Daphnia pulex: one gene and its partner. Each later gene encodes a partner of the first gene's protein in a complex. Links are inferred from orthologs where the notes say so. Each region holds a gene or a part of one and is shown on either strand. Other genes may lie near its edges.

What was found. Proteins that work in one complex are often made in the same cells at the same time.
Region 2: kinesin-like protein Klp61F (region 1) and histone H2A deubiquitinase MYSM1-like share a complex: the UniProt entries of both Homo sapiens proteins name them as parts of the large chromatin remodeling complex. The link is inferred for Daphnia pulex from reciprocal best matches to the Homo sapiens genes KIF11 and MYSM1.

What each region holds. Positions count from the first base shown.
Region 1 is NC_060023.1:1,595,948-1,601,646, forward strand, and holds the start of kinesin-like protein Klp61F, read left to right. Parts: upstream 1-1,804; 5' UTR 1,805-1,882; coding exon 1,883-1,950; intron 1,951-2,024; coding exon 2,025-2,325; intron 2,326-2,398; coding exon 2,399-2,556; intron 2,557-2,633; coding exon 2,634-2,712; intron 2,713-2,813; coding exon 2,814-3,121; intron 3,122-3,240; coding exon 3,241-3,433; intron 3,434-5,699. Other genes in the region: succinate--CoA ligase [ADP/GDP-forming] subunit alpha, mitochondrial-like, read right to left, coding at 87-161, 227-361, 429-608, 678-782, 855-1,076, 1,139-1,368, 1,463-1,499. UniProt on the Homo sapiens protein: Motor protein required for establishing a bipolar spindle and thus contributing to chromosome congression during mitosis. Required in non-mitotic cells for transport of secretory proteins from the Golgi complex to the cell surface.
Region 2 is NC_060019.1:12,572,625-12,578,549, forward strand, and holds histone H2A deubiquitinase MYSM1-like, read left to right. Parts: upstream 1-1,952; 5' UTR 1,953-2,081; coding exon 2,082-2,134; intron 2,135-2,189; coding exon 2,190-2,289; intron 2,290-2,348; coding exon 2,349-2,555; intron 2,556-2,620; coding exon 2,621-2,967; intron 2,968-3,035; coding exon 3,036-3,808; intron 3,809-3,876; coding exon 3,877-4,202; intron 4,203-4,267; coding exon 4,268-4,466; intron 4,467-4,542; coding exon 4,543-4,658; intron 4,659-4,725; coding exon 4,726-4,838; intron 4,839-4,908; coding exon 4,909-5,113; intron 5,114-5,185; coding exon 5,186-5,356; 3' UTR 5,357-5,513; downstream 5,514-5,925. Other genes in the region: integrator complex subunit 1-like, read right to left, coding at 1-21, 95-329, 387-469, 530-1,168, 1,242-1,438, 1,677-1,854; 25S rRNA (cytosine-C(5))-methyltransferase nop2-like, read right to left, coding at 5,745-5,925. UniProt on the Homo sapiens protein: Metalloprotease with deubiquitinase activity that plays important regulator roles in hematopoietic stem cell function, blood cell production and immune response.

The DNA of each region.
Region 1 (5,699 bases):
TTATTAGTTTACAAAGATGGCTAATATTTCTTTATATAATCATCAAACCACACCTAATTTGATTGCCCTGGGTTGGTTATAAGTTTTCAAACTTTGCCGACCATCTCCTTCATCAATGTTGTGCCCAACTGAGCTGGACTTCGAGTAACAACAACACCAGCCTGTCAAGTTACAAATTTAGAAGTTTTAACATATCTACTCTTGGCGTTAAATTTTGTTAACTTACTCGTTCAAGAGCCATAATCTTATCTTGAGCACCGCCTTTGCCACCAGAAATAATGGCACCAGCGTGACCCATGCGTCGGCCGGGAGGAGCTGTCAAGCCAGCAATAAATGACACTACTGGTTTCCTGTTGTCACCCTGCAAAAATAGAATAAAATTGTGTAAGGAATTCGTTCATTTGGGAGTAAACAGATCGTAAGTATACCGAATTGTGTTGAGTCAGGTACTCGGCAGCTCGTTCTTCAGCTCCACCACCAATCTCGCCGATAAGAATAATTCCCTTGGTTTCTGGGTCATTAAGAAACACTTCCAAACAGTCAATGAAATTGGTGCCGTTGAAAGGATCACCACCAATACCAACGCAGAGAGTTTGACCTAGACCCACCTGTGAGTTGAACGAGACAAGTCCATTAGTAACAAACAATTGGATGAATAGGAAAATGGTGCAATTTACCTGAGTAGTTTGATGAACAGCCTCGTAGGTCAAAGTGCCTGAACGTGAAACGATGCCAACACATCCTTGTTGGTGGATGTGACCAGGCATGATACCAATCTTGCACTAAAGTTTGGTTGTTAATAAATAGTTGTAGCATAAGTTTAGTGTATGAAACAAGGTTAACAGATATATTACCTTGCCAGGAGCAATAATTCCAGGACAATTGGGACCAATCAAACGGGACTTGTTTTGCCTCATAAGGCGATGCTTGACCTTAACCATGTCTTGTTGGGGGATGCCTTCTGTGATGCAGACAATTAAAGGAATTTCAGCATCCATGGCCTCCATGATTGCTTTTGCTGCTCCAGGAGGAGGCACATAGATGACTGTAGCATCTGGTTGCACTGCTTCTTTAGCCTGTTTAGATTTAAAACTTTTAGCCATTTTATAATTTGTTGGAATGAAGGATTGAGATTTACTTCTAGAACGGTGTTGAAAACGGGTACACCAAGATGGATTTTGCCTCCCTTTCCTGGGGAAACTCCACCAACCATGTTGGTACCATAGTCAATGGCCTGCTTGCTGTGAAAGGTTCCTTGTTTTCCCGTGAATCCCTGGCAAAGGACTCGGGTTGATTTGGTCAATTTCATTTGATGTCTAGTTGACGAATAGCACCACCTGACACCGACATTTGGTGGCCTCACAGATACTATAATGACAATAATGGTTTAGAATGAAATGAACCATAGACACATACCTTAAAAATAATCAACCAAACATTTAAAATCAAAATATTTAATTACCCAAGAAAGGGGATAAAACTCGAGCAGCAGCGGCCATGTTTCGTGAATTTTGGTGTGGGATCACAGTCAACACAAGTTTAGTAATGAAAGCAACATTGTAAATTTTTTAATGAAAATACCACATTTTACATTAGTAATTAATTATACACTTTTATTTCAGTTTATTTAAAACTGAATTCTTTATTAATTTAATAATAATTTGAGTTTTTTCAACAAAAAATAGTTTGAACGATCGGATTTGACAAAATGGCAACGTCTAGCTCGCTTTCAAACTCTCAAACCTAACTGGCTTTTTGCTTTCTGCTGCCGGAACTCCCTCCTAATTTTACTCTCAGTCACCTCGATTAGATGACCGTTGCATAAAGTGCGCCATAGTCTTTGTTCGATTTTAATTAAAATTGCAAGGGTAGTGCTCAGATTATGAGCGAAGTGAAACGCAGAGAAATGAGAGATAAAAATCAAAATATCCAAGTCTTCGTCCGAATTCGGTAAGGGCGTTTATTTTTCTAACTGTCTTTTTGCAACTCAACATAACGTTATTTTTTTTGTGGAAATTTCCTAGGCCTGTTAGCTCGCAAGAGAAAGCAGCCCGTTCACCCATTGTGGTTGAAACTCAAGCTGGCAACAATAAAGAAGTGCAGGTGGTTGAGAAGAGTTCGCTTACAAAATCTTTCAGCTTTGATCGGGTCTTTGGGAGCAATTCAAAGCAAGTGGATGTCTATAAAGTTGTTGCCGCTCCATTGGTGGACGAAGTGCTGGCAGGCTATAACTGCACTGTATTTGCATATGGGCAGACGGGGACAGGCAAAACTTTCACCATGGAGGGTGAAAGGCATGACGAATTGTCATCTTCATGGGAAAATGTAAGTTTTTCGAAAACAGAACTTGTTCATGGTTAAGACTTTGTTTTTAATTTTGGTTTGTTAACTCTTTTAGGACCCTTATTCTGGAATCATTCCTAGAACGCTGTCACATCTGTTTGATGAATTGAGGATTCAAGAAGTTGAGTGTACAGTTCGTGTTTCATTTATTGAAATTTATAATGAAGACATCTACGATTTGCTGTCTGGAACTGATGACACTACCAAACTTCGGTGAGTCATTCATTACATTATTTTAACAATTTTGTGACCGTTTAGTAAAAACACATTTGTCTTTCAATTTGTTAAAGCTTGTATGATGACACAACCAAGAAGGGCTCAGTCATTATCCAAGGCATGGAGGAGGTAACTGTGCACAACAAAAATGAAGTGAGTTTTTCCTGATTTCTATTGTCTTCCATTCCAACATTTTAAGGCTGCGTTAAGTCCTTTGTTTACCATCTCTTATTTCATGGTTATTTATCTTACAGGTTTACAGTATTTTGGCTAAAGGCTCGCTCAAGCGTCAAACAGCAGCCACGCTAATGAATGCCCATTCGAGTCGCTCGCATACCATCTTCTCCATCACTGTTCACATCAAGGAGAACACCGACGACGGCGAGGAGCTTATGAAGATTGGCAAACTGAACCTGGTCGATTTGGCCGGGAGTGAGAACATTGGTCGTTCTGGGGCCGTTGAACGCCGAGCTCGTGAAGCTGGCAATATCAATCAATCGTTGCTGACACTTGGTCGTGTTATCACTTCCCTCGTCGAGCGTGCTCCACACATCCCATACAGGTATATAATTTAAACGAAATGATTCAACCGCGCCCAACAGCCACAAAAATGGATGCGTCATTCAACGCGTTAATAACGTTAAAATGGAAATGTTTCTCTCTTCTCTTGGAATCATTTAGAGAATCGAAACTGACACGCTTGCTTCAGGACTCTCTGGGCGGCCGAACTAAAACGTCTATCATCGCTACCATCTCGCCAGCGGCCGCCAACCTGGAGGAGACTCTATCAACCCTCGACTACGCCCACCGAGCCAAGAACATCACCAACCGACCCGAGGTCAATCAGAAGCTCACGAAAAAGGCCCTACTCAAGGTAATCATCGCATACTTGAGAGTGCGCGGAATCCTATCAGCTTTCTCCTCCGCCCTCATCTGACTTGTCTCGAAATATCCTGGCCGGTGTTAACGACCTATCCCACACTACTTACTGCCGCTGCTTGGCTTGACTAATGACAGGGCCTTTCCACACACGCAACCATTTGTATTTAAAGTTGGTGGTGGTGGTGGATGTTATTAGGAGTCCGTCTAGAGCAGTTTAGGTATCGTCCCTTACCAAAAGAGAGAGAAAAGACCACACAATCAAATGCTGAGTCATTCCTATTTTCCCTTCGAGATTCCAAAGTTATTTTTTCTCACTGGAAGGAACCGAATAGGAAGAAAATCGATTTTTTTGTTTTTCTTTTGGGGTTCCTGGGATGGGTCTGCATGGGGTGTTTATGGGAGAAGGAGGAGGAGGAGAAGTCGGGACAGATAGTCGGTCCCGCCCGCGGGTAAAAGGTGGAGTGTCTACAGAGGAAAGGTGGGGTATTCTTAGGCCAGAAAGGGCACGCGGACCGACTGACTGTGCGTCTGTTGTTGGCACTTGTTTTTAACAAGGAGGGAGAAATAGTTGAAAAGTCCCCCCAACCTCCTCCCACCCATTAAGCTCCTAAAAAAGTTAAACCGTCCGAGCAGAGTCGGTTGGAGAGTTGGAGATATTATTTTTCAATTTGCGTGGTGGACCGGCGGGGGGTATGGGGGGGGTTATGGACCTATTACTTGCAAAAACTTTTCGTGCCAATTTTGGGGCTCCTGATTCGCTCTCCTCTCTCTCTCTGGATGTTTAAAAAAAGATTGTTTTGTAGTTTTGTTTGCTGTTTTTCGTCGAAAGAGTTTGTTGGAGTCCCGAGGATTAGACTGGGCACACGTCAGTGGAGAGACCTCCGCCCCTGTCAAGGTTACAATGCAAATTAGCCGCGATATAAATACCCTTTTTGTCTTGCTGTGAGGGAGTGAGTCTGTGTGTGTGTGTGTGGACGTCGTGTGTGTGTGTTGTGAGTAGGCCGTTCGGGTCGTGTGGTGTCTGGTGGGGATTTTAGTTTTGTTTTTGTTTTTGAACTTGGCGCTTAAAAAATTGAGATGTATCCATCTCTTTTTATTTCTTTTCGATGGGCGTGTGTGATTAAGTTCCTTATTTGACTGGTTTATTCTTGTGTACACTATCGCCGTTTAAATTATCAGGGATATTTAAGGGACTTTTTTAATATTTTTTTTCTCTATCTCACTCTCTCGGGGCGGTCCCTTTTTTGTTTTTTTAACTTGTAGCTCCTTTTTTAACAAGAGGGTGGAGGGGGGATTAACTAACTGTTGAGGGGCTAGAACTTTGGGATCCTTTCCAGCCCGTGATGGATTGAAATTTGTCCGAGGGCCAGGTGCTGCGCTGCGCTTTTTTCTATTTTTTTTCTCCCTTGTGCGTCTTTTTGATGATCTTTCAATCTTGGCACATTCTTCGACCGAGATAAAAAGTGGAGAAAGAAGAAAAAATGGACGTTTGAATTGGAAATGAAAGGCAAGGATTTTTTTCTTTCGCTCGCCAAGCTGCTAAAAGGCGATGATTAAACGATCGGTTGTTTGACTAACTCTTGAAAAGATGAATGGGGATCGGTGATCGGGGAACGAGGTGGGCCTAAAGGTATTTTGACTGTCCCAAGTATTTATTTGATTGGTTAGGAGAAACGAGGGGAGAGAAAATAAAATAAAAGTTTTTCTTGGACGAATGCCTATCGTCGTACTACACATTACTCGTGCCTAGTCTAATTTTGTGTGAGTTGTCGTCCGCACCGGGGGTATAGACGAGAGGAGATGGGGGGTTCGGATTGTTGTTTTTTTCTTTCTGTTTTTTTTTGTTTTCTTCTTCGACCGAACTGAAAAACTCCCACGTAGGAGAGAAGAGAAACGCTAGAGAGAGAGAGAAAAAGTCAGCATGTCGAGAGTATAACCTCCCCTCATCAGCGTGAGATAGGGTCCATTTCAGTGCTCCCGACCGTCGTGAAAGGATGTGACTCTCGCTCGCTCTCTCTGCCGTGCTGGTGCTCCTTTTTTTTCCTCCCTCTCGCCGAGACAGGATTTTCTCGTGTGTTGTTGTTGTTGTTGTTTTTCCCTTCTTCATTGGGAGACCCCAGTTGTATAATTGATCGCTCGGTGTTTGTCTAGTGAGAGCGGTGCGCCTGTGAATGACTGAGTGCGTGTGAAATGAAGGGGGGGACTCTTGTTGTCGTAGTTTGGGTCGATTGACGGAATCAACCAAACGGCCGAAGAAG
Region 2 (5,925 bases), on another chromosome or scaffold:
TGTCTGGAGCAGCGGTTTACTCTGAAAATCAAAAGAAGAAAGTATTACTATTTTTGTTCTGAAATTAAAACAAAAACATTGACGTTATTACTACCTTTAATCTCAAACGTAGAAGAGCATTTAGAACATCTGTGTCTGTAGGAGCTTCGGTACTGCAATTGACGCAGATCGAGAGGAGGAGGTCGGTGGCTGGTCTCACAAGTTTTTGATTGGAAAGCCACATTTCCAATCGCTGGGCAGCTTGAGTTCTTACAGCGGGCAAACCAGCTGTTGATGTCAAAAACTTTAAGAAGTTCCTTGTAGTGAGGTCAGATGCCGGTTGCTGCCGTCTGAGAAACCATTGATTATATTACCCTAACCTTAATGCAACTCAAATATTTTAATACCTGCTTAAATGTTGATTTACTATTTCCATGACAAGTGCTTCTGCCATGTCTTTGAGATGTTGAAATCGAGGAATAACTCGAACCTAAGAAAAAGGTAACAATGAAAATACAACTATGTGCATAATTTAAATCCCACTTGTTACCTGTTGCTGATCGAGATGAGTTGAACCTCGAAGCAGCCCACCCTGACTGTTATCTGAATCCACGCTGGCATCATCTTCAAGACCAGTGGTGCCAAGAGAAGTTATACTAGGAGAACTAGCAGCACCAGAAGATCCAAGTCCAGTGCCAGTAGCACTTTCTTGTTGAAGGATGTTCCTTGAAGGGACTTTGGTGTTGAATGCCGTTAGGATATTCTCGACAAACCCTTGACATTCTTCGCGATCTACCCAAACTCGTTCTCCAACGGAATCTTCGACAAAAACTTTCAAGAAAGATTCTGGCCATTCCGTTGAATCTTCTAGACCGGCTAACAACAAATTGCAAGCCAGTGAAGCTGCAGAAGCAGTTGTCCTTCCTTTAAAAGGACCAATACTGGCGGTAACGTCTCGTTTGAGTAATACCAATAAAGCTTCAACAATCAATTCGGTGTTGAAATATTGCGATCTCCATTTAGCTAAGTAGACAAGGGCTAGTGCAAGAATGGGTTCCACTTTATTCCGTTGACTCAGACTAAAGGCTTTCAGTTGCTTAACTGATCCACATAGGATTGCTTCAATTCTTTCTTCATCATCATTACTTTCAGCCTCTCCAATAGCATTCAACAACTCTGATGCTTCAATCTTGAATAAATTTTTATAAAGAAACATTATTTAAAGATAAATTGATAAAATCCAGAAGATTGAGTAACTCTACCTCTATAGCAGCTTCTTCCCATGGCTCTAGTCTGTTACCAGTCGAACCTGGACTGGGAGGATCAGCAGCCTTCAAAGCAGGTCTTCCCAATGCAGTAAAGGATGCAGTATTTGGGAGCCCAGGCTTTGCTTTCTTAGCTGGATTTTGAGATGAACCTGGCAGCTGGCTTGGTGCTTCCCGCTTTTTATCTGAAGGACCTACACAGTCATGAAACATATCATTCTTTAAGGCTAATGTACAGACTGAAAGAATAAATAATAATAGTAGCTGAACCGAGTTAAAAGAGATTGTTAAACAGGAATGTGGATAAGTTTAAAATTTTATAATCCATGTTCAAACTTAATTTATAAAAGGATATGATAAGCAAGTTATTGGTCAGGGTCAGGACCAGGGAAAGAAAGAATGGAAATAGAAATATTTTTGTTCTCATTTTACCCAAAGAAGGAAGTGGAGCAGGAGTGGGTTTTGATGGACCACCTGAAGAAGATCCTGATTTCTTTGCATCAACTGGTTCTGCTCGACTTTGCTTTGGTCCAAGAGCAATAAAATCACCAGAGAATCCAAGGGGTTTTGACTTGGAGTTTTTAGGCGGCAAATTCTTGCCCCGATCCATTATAACTACCGTCCAGCATTAACACCTCTTCGAAACTGATTTTGTTTTTGGTTGAGCCGAGTCTGCGAGTGTCTTCTGCAAGAAAGCGTGGTTGCATTTCTGTTTGTAAAGCGAATCGCATACGACATTTTCCTCCCCCCCCCCTCAACACGTCGTCTGCAGCAAATTGGCATATAATTAGTGATAGAGGCATCAAGCTTGTTGTGAAAACACATTCGTTAAGAAAAATGGAAGACGACGATGAAGTTGATGTTCTAGGGGATTTCTGTCTAAATCTTGAGTATGTACAAGCTTTTGTTTGCATGTTATTTGTACTAACTGACATTTGATCACAGGACGGATTTGAACCAATACGATGCCGGGGAGTTTCCTACACAGAATTCGGAATTATTGGGCGATTATATGCAACATCCTTGGCTTCTTGAAAGTTCACAAGTAAATTTTTATTCAAAGTGGTTTATATTTGGGTACAGCAAGATCTAACTTTCTCACAGGTTTGGAATATGCCAATGATGGATCATGCCAATGAAGATAAGAACAAAACACTTAATTGGGAGAATATGCTCCATGAAGAGAAAAAACACTTTTCAAACAGTTTACCCATGGCAAACCCTCCATCAACCACAACATCTGCTGTAGTTGCTTCAAAAGTGAGTCCTATGTGGACTAAAGATGATGTTGCATCTCTTCGTAAAGGAATTGTAAGTGTCGGAGTGGTTACTGATTATGGCAGGACTGTGTAACTTACTTGATACTTTTATTAAAGGGTCTACACAATCAAAATTGGAGCAAGGTTGCTAGAGCAGTTGGAACCAAGACTACTCTTCAAGTGAAAAGTTACATTAAATCACATCCAGAACTTATTACAAGTTCCTCAGTTCACATTTCCAATACCCCATCACCTCCTCAGTTCATCAATGAAGTGGAAGTTACAAACGAAGAACCAACCTTTCACTTTTCTATGGGTGACATTGTTTATGAAGCAGAAGTCCCTGCTGTATCCACAGAAGAAGTAATTGCTAGTGTGGCACCTACCAAGTGGGACTTGACTCCGACAAAAAATAGCAAAAAGACGAACCGTTCAAAACCAAAATCTCCTACAAAAGAAATAAGGTATGACAAATATTTAAACAATAACTGCCATTGATTCAATATAGATATTTTTAAAATTCTTTCTTTAGGCGGGTAAAAAATCCACTCTTAGTTAAGAAAGCGCCTGGAAGACCTAGGAAAATTTCAAAAGACTTATCCGTCCCCCAATTAACAAATTGTAATATAATAATTGATGATGCCACACTTACAAAGAAACCGGTTCCCATTCTTCAAGGAGAAATTATTCGATTACAAAGAACAAGTGAACTAGTAGATTCTAGCGATTCCGAAGTTGATATTGATTGCAGTGACGATGAAGAGGAACGTACAGCCAACAAACCTCCAACCATTTTAAAAGAAACCCTAAAATTACAGTCATCTTCTGATGATTCTTCTGTTCCAATTAAAAACGAAATTCAAGAAGCTGAAATCATAGAAACTCTGGCACCACCACTACCACAGCCGTCTGAGCCATCAACAAAATACGCACAAGAAGATAAAAGTGAATGTGAATCTTCTGAGACTGATTCCAAGAACCCAGATGTTGGATTAATGGACGCTGAACCCCCGCAGCCCGTCTTCACGTTTCCAGCTCCCCTAGAAGAGCGAACCGTTGCATTTACTATTATCACAGATGAGGAAAAGACGATTCATTGGGATTTCTTTGAGGGTCGTCCCAGTAAAACACCGGAAAGGTACATGAAGATTCGTAACAGCATTGTTCAAGAGTGGCGCAGAGTAAAACCACGTTACCTCACGAAAACATCCGTTCGTCCTTCCCTCAAAAACTGCGGAGATGTTAATTGTATCAGCCGAGTGCACGCTTACTTGGAATTGACAGGGGCCATAAACTTTGGATGTGGTATGCTTTTCTATCTTTGATATTTCTACACAGTTCATTTAACATTTTTATTCGTTCAAATCCTACAGATCAGGTACAATACAACCGTCCGTTGCCACCAGTGCCCTGCCATCGAGAGAGAATGGCGAACAGCAGTACTCATTTTGTGAACAACCTTCCTCTCATTTCCGGACTACCAGCAAGGGTCAGGAAGAAGAGACCCCATCATGAAAATGGAGACGAGAATGGCGGGTACACAATCAGCCACGACGGCTCTCAAGGGAGCTCATTCATTTCGAATTCAGGATCTACTAGTCCACAAAAACAAAAACCGAAAAAAAGAACAAAACCACAACTTGAGGAGAAATCTCCTTTTCAGTTAGTTCCATGTCTAAATTTCGGTGGCGAGAAAGAGGTATCTCTTTGTTATTTGAATGAAATTATTATGGTTTAATTGGAAAATGTTTCTCTTTGTTAAAGGCACCTTTCAGCGTACAACTTTCGGTGGAAGCGCTTGTAGTTATTGACCTCCATTCTCATACTTGCACAACAGAAATTATTGGCTTACTTGGAGGCCACATCTATCCGGGATCGGATAAGTCTCCGGCTACGTTATCCATCGAAGCCGCCCAACCGTGTCGAAGTCAGGCAACTAACCATCAATGTGAAATGTGTCCTAGTAAGATTGTTTTGTTTTTTCTGCTGATCAAATCACACTTCATAAAAACTGAACTGTGTAATTTCTGCTATTACAGTTTCACAAACAGAAGGCAGTGAGGAGTTACGATCTCGCGGTCTTGAAATTGTAGGCTGGTATCACTCTCATCCGACATTCCCTGCCCTCCCTTCTTTACGCGATTTAAATACTCAGGTGAGCATAGAGTGTATGTCGTCATGTCTTTGATTACACATTCTATATTTGTAATGTTTGCTTTTAGAACGAATTCCAGCAATGGTTTTCCCGGCAAGATGCGCCTTTCGTCGGCCTAATTGTTAACCCCTTTTCTTCTTCTGGGATCAAAACATCCATGTCTCTCAAATCGACAATTCGGTAAGTAGTTTCTAGTTGCGTTTAAAGTAGACTCAAAGCTAACAATCAATTGCAACACATTCGAGTATAGATGCATCACCGTTCATGACGATTTACCGTATAAACATGAGCTACCGGTATTCGATTGCGGGGCAAATGAATTGAACAAAGTTCGAATAACACTTGATGTTTTGGAGACCAACCTAGATCTGTGTCCAACTTTGGTCCCCCTCAACAGCAAGTATCCTTACCTTCCAACGCGTTCCGAAGACGGGATTTTGAATTACGCTAAAAAAGTGAGTTGCTAAACCGTAAATTTTTTAGTTTGTTATCAGTTGTAATACTTACTAATGGATATTTTTCTGCAGGCTCTGTCTAGTATAAGAGCACACTTGGAGAACGTAGTTACAGGGTCACTTATGAATGACATCGAGGAACTAGCTGAAGGATTCCTGAATCGATTAATAGCACGTCATGCCAGTCGTGTAATCGTCTCCCCTGTTTTTACGAGTACCCTACCTTGCAGCGACTCCAATTAATTTATCAGTACAGGTTTACTGATTATGATTGAATCAAATCATCCTCCTCTTATGAGAAAGACCACGCTCACATGTACATATAGCATGAATTTTAATCCGGGCGACTTCTTGTTGTGTTTTCTTTGTTCTGAACTTTAATAAATCAGACACACTTTCATTTGTTTTCTTGGCAAGTAATTCAGTTCGAAATTCTGGTCAATTAAAATATTGCGATTAGAAACCAAAGGTTGAGGTACTACATAATATTGCTGACGTGTCCTGTTTGACATTCCGCCACTAAGTAGGGGATAAAATGATCAGACGGACTTGGTGACACTATGATTATTATAAATATTGGGGTAGGATTAACGTTATCTCGACTTTTATGTGCTATTGTATGTACATGTTGTTATGTGCATGGATAATATGCTTCGAAATACTGATAGACGTTAACGAGAAGGAAAGCAATAATGGAGCCAATAGCTGATCCCACCTGTGTGAATACTCCAAACCAAAACAGGTTGCGATTTCCCTTTCCTTCTTCCATACGGAAAAGAGACGCAATGCTGACTTTGACGTACGTCAGGAGG